3 linked regions of the Neurospora crassa OR74A genome follow. The protein of the gene in region 1 interacts with the protein of each later gene in a pairwise test. Links are inferred from orthologs where the notes say so. Each region holds a gene or a part of one and is shown on either strand. Other genes may lie near its edges.

The links.
Region 2: the proteins of NCU04150 (region 1) and NCU00337 interact in binary tests that used the Saccharomyces cerevisiae proteins (3 or more experiments, as listed by UniProt). The link is inferred for Neurospora crassa OR74A from reciprocal best matches to the Saccharomyces cerevisiae genes MAK16 and NOC3.
Region 3: the proteins of NCU04150 (region 1) and NCU00404 interact in binary tests that used the Saccharomyces cerevisiae proteins (3 or more experiments, as listed by UniProt). The link is inferred for Neurospora crassa OR74A from reciprocal best matches to the Saccharomyces cerevisiae genes MAK16 and RPF1.

Annotation. Positions count from the first base shown.
Region 1 is NC_026505.1:5,007,577-5,010,837, forward strand, and holds NCU04150 (66S preribosome component MAK16), read left to right. Parts: upstream 1-1,241; 5' UTR 1,242-1,388; coding exon 1,389-1,422; intron 1,423-1,492; coding exon 1,493-1,659; intron 1,660-1,737; coding exon 1,738-2,511; 3' UTR 2,512-2,695; downstream 2,696-3,261. Other genes in the region: NCU04149 (mitochondrial GTPase), read right to left, coding at 1-580, 645-950.
Region 2 is NC_026503.1:3,495,455-3,499,741, forward strand, and holds NCU00337 (nuclear export protein Noc3), read left to right. Parts: upstream 1-1,355; 5' UTR 1,356-1,520; coding exon 1,521-3,551; 3' UTR 3,552-3,681; downstream 3,682-4,287. Other genes in the region: NCU00336 (U3 small nucleolar RNA-associated protein 10), read right to left, coding at 1-789. UniProt on the Saccharomyces cerevisiae protein: Required for synthesis of 60S ribosomal subunits and the transport of pre-ribosomes from the nucleoplasm to the cytoplasm. Also required for initiation of DNA replication.
Region 3 is NC_026503.1:3,739,752-3,743,686, reverse strand, and holds NCU00404 (RNA processing factor 1), read left to right. Parts: upstream 1-1,302; 5' UTR 1,303-1,440; coding exon 1,441-2,161; intron 2,162-2,233; coding exon 2,234-2,409; intron 2,410-2,489; coding exon 2,490-2,751; intron 2,752-2,821; coding exon 2,822-2,946; 3' UTR 2,947-3,316; downstream 3,317-3,935. Other genes in the region: NCU00405 (glycyl-tRNA synthetase 1), read right to left, coding at 1-636. UniProt on the Saccharomyces cerevisiae protein: Essential protein. Required for biogenesis of the 60S ribosomal subunit.

The sequences.
Region 1 (3,261 bases):
TGATGGAATGCAAAATCTCTTTGACGAGACGGGTCACGTTCCTCAGCAGCTCGGTAGGCGACTCGTCAAAGTGCTGGTCTTCGCTAAAGTCGATCAGGGCTTCGATCTCGCCCCGGGCCAGGAGTAGCTGCTCACGCCAGGACTCGTACGTCTTGCCCAACACTCCCGAGGTGCCGCGGATGGCGGCCCGCCGCTGCTGCTCGGTTTCCGCGGAGAGAGTGTCGCCGAGCGCTTCGACTTGGGCGAGGTCTAGTCGGTTGTTGAGGAAGGCACGCTTGGTGAACTCGCCTTGCTCGGCGTAGCGGATGGTACTCGATGAAGTGGACTTGGGAATGGCGGAGAGAACGGCCTTGACGGTGGCTGGGCCGCCGTGCACGTGCAGCTCGAGGACGTCCTCGCCTGTGACGGTTTTGGGACCGGGGAAGTACAGGACCAGAGCGTCGGTGTCGAGGACGTTGTTGGCGTTAGCTGCTGATGGTGATGAGACATCGTTGCCGGGTTCGGTGGGCTCGGTCAGGGTGCGCACGGCGGCGTATCTGGGTTTGGGGATGAGTTTGGTGGGACATAGTGAGTTGTAGACCTTTGCTTGGTGTTAGTCATGTCAGGAGCGAGTGAGAATGTTTGGCGTGGGAGGGGTTGTTTACATCAAGACATCCGGGTCCAGAAATACGGATTACGGCTATGCCAGCTCTTCCTGACCCTGATGAAAGGGCATAGATGGTGTCGTTGGTGAGAAAGGGCAGAGTCGAGTCTCTAGGATTCCCACCTTGACCCTTACTCCCAGAGACGGCGTCAAAGGCAGACGCCCTACGGCCAAACTCATGATAGCTTCTTGCTATGCGGATAAGACATGATGTTGGCTGCTGCTGCCATGATCGTAGTGCACAAGAAGTGACTCGAGAGCCTCCCGGTCGGTGGATAGCAGCTCGTCTTATCGCATGGCGGAACATTGACCTCAACCAAAAGACATGAATTCACACAAGTGATGTCTTCAGCGGAGAGATGTCACTGAGAAAGAGATGCCCTGCCGTGGTGAACCTTCCGTCGATGGCAGCTTGAATAAACAGCCCCCCCTGCAACAAGAGCGAGTGCCAAGACCTTTGAGCAGCCACTCTCAAGGTATCGCTGTAAGATGATTGGCTGTAGCCCCAAAGCTGCTGGGATGTCTAGCGATTGCACGGACCACATCGACTGCATCAAAAGTTCAGAAAGATCCATTTCTAAATTTTTATCGGGCAACCGCAGCCACGCCCGTGTCTTCTCCATCTCCTCGTACACACGACCTGCTCCTGCGCCCTTCTTCGAGAAGCTGACCCTTCTTTTTCACCACAACGCCAATTCGAAGATACCCCGACAATTAGAAGGCGGCCAGATCAACCACAGTCAACATGTCTGACGAAATCGTCTGGCAGATCATCAACCGTATGTCGCAGTCTCTCGAAAGTTAAAAGGCCTGCCTGCCCCGCAGTGTCGCTAACCTTCGACCCTACAGAGCAGTTCTGTGCTTTCAAACTCAAGACAACCAAGGGCAACAACTTTTGCAGAAATGAGTACAACGTCAGCGGCTTCTGCAACAGGCAGAGCTGCCCCCTAGCCAACAGCCGTTATGCGACCGTCAGAACCTCGCCCAAGGGCACAATATACCTTTACATCAAGACCGTGCGTATCCGCTCCTTGTGGCAAACCTACCAGATCCCCGGGACCAACTAGCTGACACACCCTTCCCCTTTCTTACAGATTGAGAGAGCCCACATGCCCTCCAAATGGTGGGAAAAGATCAAGTTGTCGCAAAACTACGCCGAAGCCCTCCAGCAAATAGAGGATCGCCTTCAATACTTCCCCAAATTCCTCCTCCACAAGTGCAAGCAGCGCCTCACCCGTCTCGTACAAGTCGCGACCCGCATGCGCAAACTCGCCGCCGAGGAAGACCGTCTCGGCGAGAAGCTGGTGCCCAAGATGGCGCCCAAGGTCAAGCACCGCGAAGAGGCCAGAGAGCGCAAGGCCCTCATTGCCGCCAAGCTGGAGAGGACGATCGAGAGAGAGCTGCTGGAACGTCTCAGGCAAGGAATGTACGGCGACCAGCCCCTCAACTGCTCCGAGTCTGTCTGGAAGAAGGTGCTGCAGGGTCTTGAGAAGGAGGGTGAGGGTACCCGCGACAAGGATCTGGATGAGGGCATCGAGGACGAGGATGAGGAGGACGAGGAGGAGGAAGAGCTCGAGGAGGAGATCGAGGACGGCAATGTCGAGTACGTGTCCGACTTCGAAGAGACCGACGACGAGCTCAATGATATCGAGGATTGGCTCGGCAGCGATGACGAGGACGATGCGGAGGACGACGATGACGAGGATGATGATGACGACGATGAGGGCGACAGCGAGGAGGATACCAAGAAGAAGACAAAGGCTGGCGACAAGAGGAAGAGAGGAAAGGTCACCAAGATGAAGGCACGGAAAAAGAAGGAGATCGAGGTGGAGCACGAGACGGACAGGGAGAAGTTGCTTGCTTTCTAAAAGAGGGACGTGGGAGATTTGTTATCGTGGTTGTTGTTGTTGTTGTTGTTGATGTACTAGATGATGATACCTTGGCATCTGGCAGATTGGTCACCGGTCTTGACATTCTGTCATGTAATGATTGCATGGCTCGTAGAACAAGAGCTCTTTTCATGTTTAACTCTGTTCAATCTGGAGAACTAACCTACTTTGCGGTTCCTGTGATATGTGAGGAGCAAAAGTGCATCCATGCATTACCTCTACCCCGGTCACAGGCTCGCCATGCGGCCCTGTAAAGTCAAGGTTGGTATGTGATTTATAGGTGGGGCAGTGGCTCTTCAGGCCAGGAGGTAACGGTCGCGCAGTGATGAAACGCCCCTTGGAACCCACGCCGCCTTTCGCATCTCTCCTGGCGATCAATCCATCAATTTACCTTCCACGTTCAAAGAAGGCCACGAAAACAAGAAAAGAACTTTGGGAACTTTTGGTTTCCTTCCTATATCGCGGGACACCAATAAACCCTCAATTCCCAACCAAACAACACAACGCCTGTGCCTGACCGACACACCGCGGCTAATTGCAAAAATACCCTTACCCGCAACAACCACCTCAAGGAAGCTTCCCACCGCCCGATCTCGCGATCCGATCAAGGGGTGCTTGCTGGTCGTAGCACCTCGTCACCGACAGAACCAAACCTACCTCACTCTGACTTTCCATTCAACATCACACAATATATCTAGACACCAGATATCTAATTACACTGCACCAACC
Region 2 (4,287 bases), on another chromosome or scaffold:
GGGAGAGCTCTTCATGACCATGGCATCGCTGAGGACCGGGCCAAGCTGCTGCATGAGAGCGTTGTCGTTCTCGATCTGGATGCTTCTCCTGCCGGAACGGTACTTGTCGAGCAGACCGTTGGTGGCTTCAACCATGACACCACCCCAGAAGGAGATGAGGCCAGGGTATTCCATCTGGTACTTGCAAGAGTCAAGAGTGTACTGGGAGATGGCGGTAAGCAGCTCGGGGCGGTTCGTCGCTTGCTGAACAATGGCGGCGCGAGGGGGCGCGGTCAGAGAGCGGATGTAGGGGTCGAGGAAGCGGTACTCCTTGGGGATGTTGGCGGGCAGGATGGACAACAAGGTCACAAAGGCCGGGATGGTATGGTATGGGAGGAAGGTCGCGATGAGAGCAGCCGTGTTGAACTCATGAACGCGGAACCGGCGGATCAACCACTCGATGGCCTTGATGGTGGGCATGAGACGCAACCTGCTGCCGCACAGGTGGAGGAAGGCCTCGACATGCTTATCGAGGGCGGCATTCTCAGCGGCGCTCATCTGTGTCCTGTCGGCCTCCTGGCTTTGTGGGCTCCATAGCGACTGGGTGAACTTGGTGAAGCGCGAATCAAGGTTGCACAGCTCCTCAAAGCCTTCGAGGCATATCGAGTAGATCTCGGGGTATGTCTGGGTAGCGGCAACGCGGGGCTCGAAGATCAGGGACTTGGAGTGGGCGGCCTTGAGGACCTTGGTGTTGAGGGTCGACCGCGAGTTGGCAGCGATCTGGGCCAACTGGGAGGCCAAAGACGACATGGTTGGGTGTTGGTTTCTACGATTCGGCTTTATGGTTATCGTATGGTACTATCGTCAAGGAGAGTCGACGTCGATATTTCGATCGCGTCGCAAAGTGGGAATTCGATCGGCCTTTCGGCGCGTGGTGGGAGACGGGGAAGAGTGCAGTCTCGATTGTGTATCGTGGGGTAGAGACTGGGATTACGGGAGGTTGGATGTGTGTACAGTGGTCGAGAAAGAGATTAGGTGCCGCGGTCTCTCTTTGCTGCGACGAGGTTGATGTTTTCGGAGAGTGCCCCGTCGGTGGGTTCCTATTTGGATGGATGGAAGGAAAGGGAATTCAAACTTGGAGGAGGAGGTGCGGCCACTCGAAGCTCCAGCGCAAGCAACTGAACTCGACCGCAAAACTCAAAGTGCAGTCAATCGATGGCCGTTCATGGTTCAGCAACTTTTTTTTCCCCAAGCGGTGGGGTCCGATAAGAAAGCTAAACCAACCACATCCCGCCGATAAGACCCCCAGCTTTGGCAGCCAGGGTCCAAAAAGTTTGGAAAATGTTCCTGAGCGGTTCCTCATCTCAGTGAAGAACAAACAATCGATACCCATCCATCTCCACTCCAGAACACCGCTCGCTCCCGTCTCACTTCAGTCTGTCTTCAGCACACATCGATCAGCCGCCCACACTCAGTGTTTCAGGTTCACTTCACATCATCTCACAACCCTCCAACTGCACAGACCATCACCAGCCACCACCATGTCTTCCCATCCTTCCAAGCGGAGGAAGCTGACCGAGGGAGGCCAGTCCTCGGACGGCGCAGCAACCAGCGACGTCAAAATTCAAAAGCAGTTCTTCAAGAGTGCACAGAGCTGGAACCTCGAGGAGGACTATGAGAACCGCCCCAGGAAAGGAAAGAAGAAGAAGGAGAAGAAGGTCGCCGATGCCACGAAACTGCCCATCAGAGTTGCCGAGGGAACCTGGGTGACGCAGGAAGAGGAAGACGCCGAGATTGCGAGCGATGCCGAGTGGTTGGAGAGTGAAGGGGAGGAGGCCCCTGAGGAGGAGGAGGCTCAGCCCGAGCCAGAAGCACCCAAGATTCCCGAGCGTGAACAGATCAGGAGAGCCCAGGAGGAAATGGCCAAGATCGCAACGCAGCTCAATGAAGACCCAGAGGAGCATCCGGGTGCTTTCAAGGCGCTCGCCAAGATTGGAGAGTCGGACCTTCTCGCCATCAAGAAGCTCGCCATTGTTGTCCAGATGACCGTCTACAAGGATGTCATTCCCGGCTACAGGATAAGACCGGCTTCGGAGGATGTTGCCAAAGAGAAGCTGTCCAAGGATGTCAAGCGGCTACGCGTCTATGAACAGGCCATGGTGACCGGCTACTACCAATACATCAAGACCCTTGCTGCCCTCGCCGGTGGATCGATTCGCGACAAGTCCAAGCAGCCCATTTCCAGCATCGCCCTTACCTGCGCCTGCACCCTTTTGAACGCAGTACCGCACTTCAACTTCCGCGGTGAGCTTCTCAAGATTCTCATCAAGAAGCTGAGCTACAGAAATATCGATAAAGACTTTATCAAGTGCCGGACCGCTCTCGAGACCCTGTTTCACGAGGATGAGGATGGTCAACCCGCCATGGAGGCCATTTCAGTACTCACAAAGATGATGAAGGCTCGTAACTACCAGGTTGACGAGAGCATCCTGAACCTGTTCCTCCACCTGCGTTTGCTTAGCGAGTTTTCCGGAAAAGCTTCCAGAGACACGGTGGAGAAGCAGGACGATGGGTCGGTCAAGAAGCCGAAGCAGAAGAAGGAGTTCCGCACCAAGCGTGAGCGCAAGCTTCTTAAGGAGCAGAAGGAGGCTGAAAAGGTCATGGCCCACGCCGACGCAGCTGTGAGCTACGAGGAGCGAGAGCGGATGCAGTCCGAAACGCTCAAGATGGTTTTCGCCTCGTACTTCCGCATCCTCAAGATGCGTATTCCCAACCTCATGGGTGCCTGTCTTGAAGGTCTCGCCAGATACTCCCACCTGATTAACCAGGACTTTTTTGGTGATCTCCTTGAGGCCCTAAAAGACCTGATCCGCTACAGTGAAAAGGACGCCAACAAGGAGGACGAGTCGGACGACGAGAACAAGGAAGAGGAAGAGGATGAAGACGACGAGCACGAATTCGTTCGTGACACCAGCCGCGAAGCCCTCCTCTGCACCGTCACCGCCTTTGCTCTTCTCGAGGGCCAAGACGCCCATAACGCCCGCTCGGACCTTCACCTCGATCTCTCCTTCTTCATCACCCACCTCTTCCAGTCCCTCCTCTCTCTCTCCGTTAACCCGGATCTTGAACTCGGCGCCCAGTCGCTCCAGCTCCAAAACAGCGTGCGCCGCAACAACCGCATCAATTTGCAGACCACCACCGTCCTGCTCGTCAAGTGTCTCAGCGGCATCCTCTTGCCGCCCTGGAACATCCGCTCCGTGGCGCCGCTCCGTCTGGCCGCCTTCACGAAGCAGCTCATGTCCGGATCGCTCCAGGTGCCGGAGAAGTCAGCCCAGGCGCTTCTCGGCTTGCTCGCCGACGTGCTCCACACGCACGGCAGGAAGATCAGCTCGCTCTGGAATACGGAGGAGAGGAAGGGCGACGGCACTTATAAGCCACTTGCGGCGACAGTGGAGGGTAGCAACCCATTCGCGTCGACGGTGTGGGAGGGCGAGCTGTTGAGGAGACATTACTGCCCCAAGGTGAGGGAGAGTGTGAAGGAACTGGAGAAGAGCATCAAAAGTATCAAATAGCTGGTGAAAGGGTGATGTCGGAAGGGATTGTCTTGTTATGTCTACGAGACTCTAGGTGTAGGTTGTTGGAGAGTATACACGTTAGCTTTGGCATAGAATTATTATTGTTGAAACGATTCTGGATATCTACGAGTTTATGGCTGTGAAAGTGATTTCAATGGCGGCTGGCAGACACAAAGCCACCACCATACCAACGGGTACTTTTGTCGACCAAACCCATCATGATCACAGTGGAATGTGGTATTACTTCAGTTTCTTTGGAGATCTAAAAGCAGGCGGTCGCATTTGTTATGTGATAACACTTGGAGAATGAGCCTCCTCCACTGCACCTTCCCAAGACATTTCCAACTTTCAGTTGGCCATCAGCTGTTTTCCCTCCTCGACCTCCATTCAGCCGACCATCCTGACCTTTGCATCATTTTTCTTTTCTTTTCATCTTTTCTATTTTCTGCTCTAGCTCTGTCTCACCGAGTCGGGTCAGACTTGCCGAACCATGGCGGCTGTACATTAAACCGAGGCATGTCCGTAGCTTCCCCTCAGCCTCATGCGAGTTTAATTGGTGAGGTGAAAAATCTTTTGCTGTCTGATGACGATCGTCATATCGATTCATGGAGTGTCTTTCTCATTTCCCTTGTTGGTGTAAGCGTGCGGCTCTCATGTTCCACAACAGCCTTATTTGTGAAACATTGTTAGGCAATATTCAGCTTGGTTACACAATGCGTCCGTCGGTAGCCCG
Region 3 (3,935 bases), on another chromosome or scaffold:
CTTCTTCTTGCGCTTAGGGTCCTCCTCCTTGTCCTCTACCTTCTGGCCGCGAGCCTCCTTGTCGCCCTTGAGGCGGGCCTCGAGAACGTCCTCGACGAAGTGGTCGGCGCGCAGAATGTCGCCGTTCTTGGGGTCCTTGCACATCCAGTCGGCGAACTTGTCGACGTGGCCGGAGGTCTTGAGAACATCGTGGGGGGTCAGGGCGGTGCAGTCAACCTCGAGCATGTCCTCCTCGAGGACAAAGTGCTTGCGCCAGATGTCGATGATGTTGGCCTGGAGGGCACAACCGGGCGGGCCATAGTCGTAGAGGCCAGCAACACCGCCGTAGATATCGAAGGAGGGCGCAAAGAACATGCGGCGGCGCAGCATGGACTCGAGAGCGCCCTTGTCGAGGGGCTGGCCCTTGAGGGTGGTGGCCGTCGAGGTCATCTTGGTGTTTTGTTTTTTGACGTAGACTTGGAAGCGATGGTGCGAGGTAGAGAGGGAGAAGGATCGGAGCGAAGTCGAAGAGATCCGCGGGATGGGCGCCGGGGTCCAAGAAGTTCGACTGGCGACGGCTCGGGTGGATAAGGTCGATTTGAATGCTTGACCAGCAACAGGAGAACGGAGGGAGGCGAGACGGGCAAGAGGTCGCATGAATTGGTCTTGTTACAGTGCTCAAGGGAACCAAGTGAGTCACGGTCGCCCACTGAGGTTTCGTCGAGGCCTTTTCAATTGAAACACGTACTTCAACCGAATCGCGGGATGATTTTTTTCTTTGGGGGGGTAGAGGGGCGCCATGGAGGGGCCGGCACCAACGACCCAGACAACCTAAGCCAAGGGACAGCGGTCCAGATTCCCGCTCTCGAGCCGCCGTCAGTGGCGGCGCGGTACGCGACAGAAGGCTCGACTCGCTGGAATCCACCAGCCATATCAGGAAGTGGAACTGCACATGCTACTGTACACTACCTCTACCTACCTAAGTAACTCCCTTACAGAAAGCGCATTCCGCTGGCTAGCGTTATTGTGACTTTTCATCGGCTAGAGGTATTGATATTTGATTATCAAGAGTCCGTGATGCCGCCGTTCTTCATCCCAAAAATTCTGCTTCCGTCCCAACTTACAGCAAGGGACGGGATGGAGTCATCCTGTGCAGGTGACAGTCAGGTAGTAGTGTACACTGAGGGGTAGCGGTACGTACCTGTCCCCGGCTGAGGCCGTGCGTTAGCTGTTGGGGTACCCTTGTAGATGCACGTCTTGGCGCCCTTGATGGCTCTGGGCCCAGAAAAAAAGTTGAAAGTTTACCGGGCCCGTTCAATTCATCCGTCAGGTAGAGGTAGCAACAACTGCCCAGCATCACGTCGAAGTTTGAACTGTGACCTGGAGAATTGATCCTACCCTACAATTTTGACACCGCGACAACCACTAATCCCACCGCCGTGTTACCACATCGTAGCCGATATGCCGTCCGGTAACAAGGGCAAAAACCGCTCCGGCGGATCGCTGTCGCTCAAGACCTCCAACAAGATTGTCAGAAAGCAATTATACGTCAAGCAAAAGAAGGAGCAGGGAAAGGAACGCCATGAGGAGCGTCACCGCCGGAGGAAGGAGGAGGCCAAGGATCCCAAACTCAGAGAAGAGCGCCTCGCAAACAACCAACCCTTGACCATTGAGAGGAAACGCGTGTGGGATGACGTTGACGACGACAGCCTGGGCGTCGCTGTGGATGTTGCCGAGCTCAAGAGGAGGCGCTTGGAGAAGGAGGAGGCCGAGGCCGCCAGGCTAGCCGATGGAGTCACGGAGGAGGATGAGGAGAAGGACGACGATGCCGATTCTATGTTGGACTCGGACGAGGAGGGTGACGACGACGACGAAGATGCCGAGGAGCGCATCGAGAGACTCAGACAGGAGCGTGCGCAGAGGAAACCCAGCATCGCTCCCTCGACCACGTCGACAAATCTAGACATGACTCCCGACTCGCTCACACGACAATTTCCCAATCTCTTCAACGAGGAACCCCCAGTCGACCCCAAGATTCTGGTCACCACCCATTTGAACGGCACCATTCACAAGGAGGCGGAGGACATTGCTGCCATCTTTCCCAACAGCACGTACATCAGACGCAGTGCGCACGCGTATGGACACAAGTATAGTGTTCGCGAGATCGCAAAGTTTGCCAAGAGTGAGTAGCGCACCCAGGTTGGAGTTTTGTTGCCCAAGAGAAAATTGCTAACACAGGCCTGAATTGTTACAGACCGTGGATACACGATTCTCATGATTGTCGGCGAAGATCTCAAGAAGCCTAGCTCCCTGACCGTCATCCATCTCAACGGCGAAGATGTTGCCCCTGGTCCTTCGTTGACATACACCATCCGGAACTACCTGCCTGGAAAGGCTCTCCTTGGCCACGGTAACCCTACAAACCACTACGTAAGCCGTCCATCCTAATCCCCAAGTCCATTAATTACAGGACATTGAGACTAAGCATTGCAACCAAAAAAAAAATACAGCCCGAGCTTCTCCTCAATGGATTCAAGACCCCTCTCGGTATCCTCGCCGCTAAATCCATGCACACCATGTTCCCTCCCAGGCCCGAGCTTTCGGGTCGCCAGGTCGTGACATTGCACAACCAGCGTGATTACATCTTCTTTCGCCGCCACCGCTACGTCTTCCGCGAGGCCCGCACGACGGAGAAGAACGTGGTTACTGCGGAGGGCAAGGAGATGGAGGGTATGCAGGGTATCCGTGCTGGTTTGCAGGAGATTGGACCCAGTAAGTCTTGCTACCGCGGAAAACAAAAGTTTTGGCGAATGAACCGAAAGTGGCTGACTTGTTTTGATAGGATTCACTCTCAAGCTTCGTAGAGTGGATAAGGGTATCGGTCGGGCTGGCAGCGAAGGAGAGGATGCTTTGAAGTGGGAGTGGAAGGCCAAGATGGAGAAGGTTCGCACGCGCTTCAACCTCTAAGGGGGCTGATCATGATAGTAGTATTGGTGATACCCTTCTTTCAGTATGCCATCGTCTCTGTTGGCACTGGAGAGTATTTGTCTTGTTCAAAGTGTGTATGTGGCGTTATCGGTTCACAAAAGGGTTTGGGAGGAAGGCATGATTCATCAACATCAGGTCACTATGACTGTACTTCAAGACTACCTATTTTCTGTGCATGTACCGCCGGTTTCCTCTCCCTTTCTACGATTTATGACCAGCCTTCTTGGCTTCCTCCTTGAGCATAGCCACTGGATATCTAACCCAGCAACGAAATCTCAGCCATTCTGCTCAGTATCATCGGCAAGAGAAGCTGGAGATGCCGCCGAGTTGCGGTGATAGTGGGCGATCCAGATGGTGTAGAGGGACGAGCCGAGGATGCCGAGAAGTGAGAAGAGGATGCCCTAGAGGGTTATGATTTCGACTTGCTTTTGGGTTTGATCTGTTGCTGAACCAGGTACGGTTTTGGTTGAAAGAGGTAAAAGATAGGATATCATAATGACTGACTATCCACACCCCGCACACGACAAGCTGGGACCAAAGCCAACATGGCTCTCTCGGGTAAGACGGAGTGGTAGAGAACGTGATTCGTCACGCCACGATTGGCGTGAGCAAGATCCAAGCGATTTGGTAGAAGGTTACAGAATTAAAAGCTATTAGCCAATGAGGAAGGATCACATCGAGGGACATGGCCACGCTGAGGGGAGTGTCTCGGGGAGAGATGGAGCGAGGACAAAGAGCGAGAGGGGAGGTCGCGAGAGGAGGAAGACGGTCAGGTAGGTGGTGAGGAAGTGGAAGGTTGCGAAGGAGAGCTGGGTTAATTGGAAGGATGGGGTGGAGAAATGGACTGAATTGTGAAGACCTGGGTTGGTTCGGTTGTTCGTAAGGAACTGTTGGGAGAGGAGAGCAGGGAAAGATGAACAATCAGTATTGAGACTACGATATTGACCGCCATTCAAATGAAGGCGGGT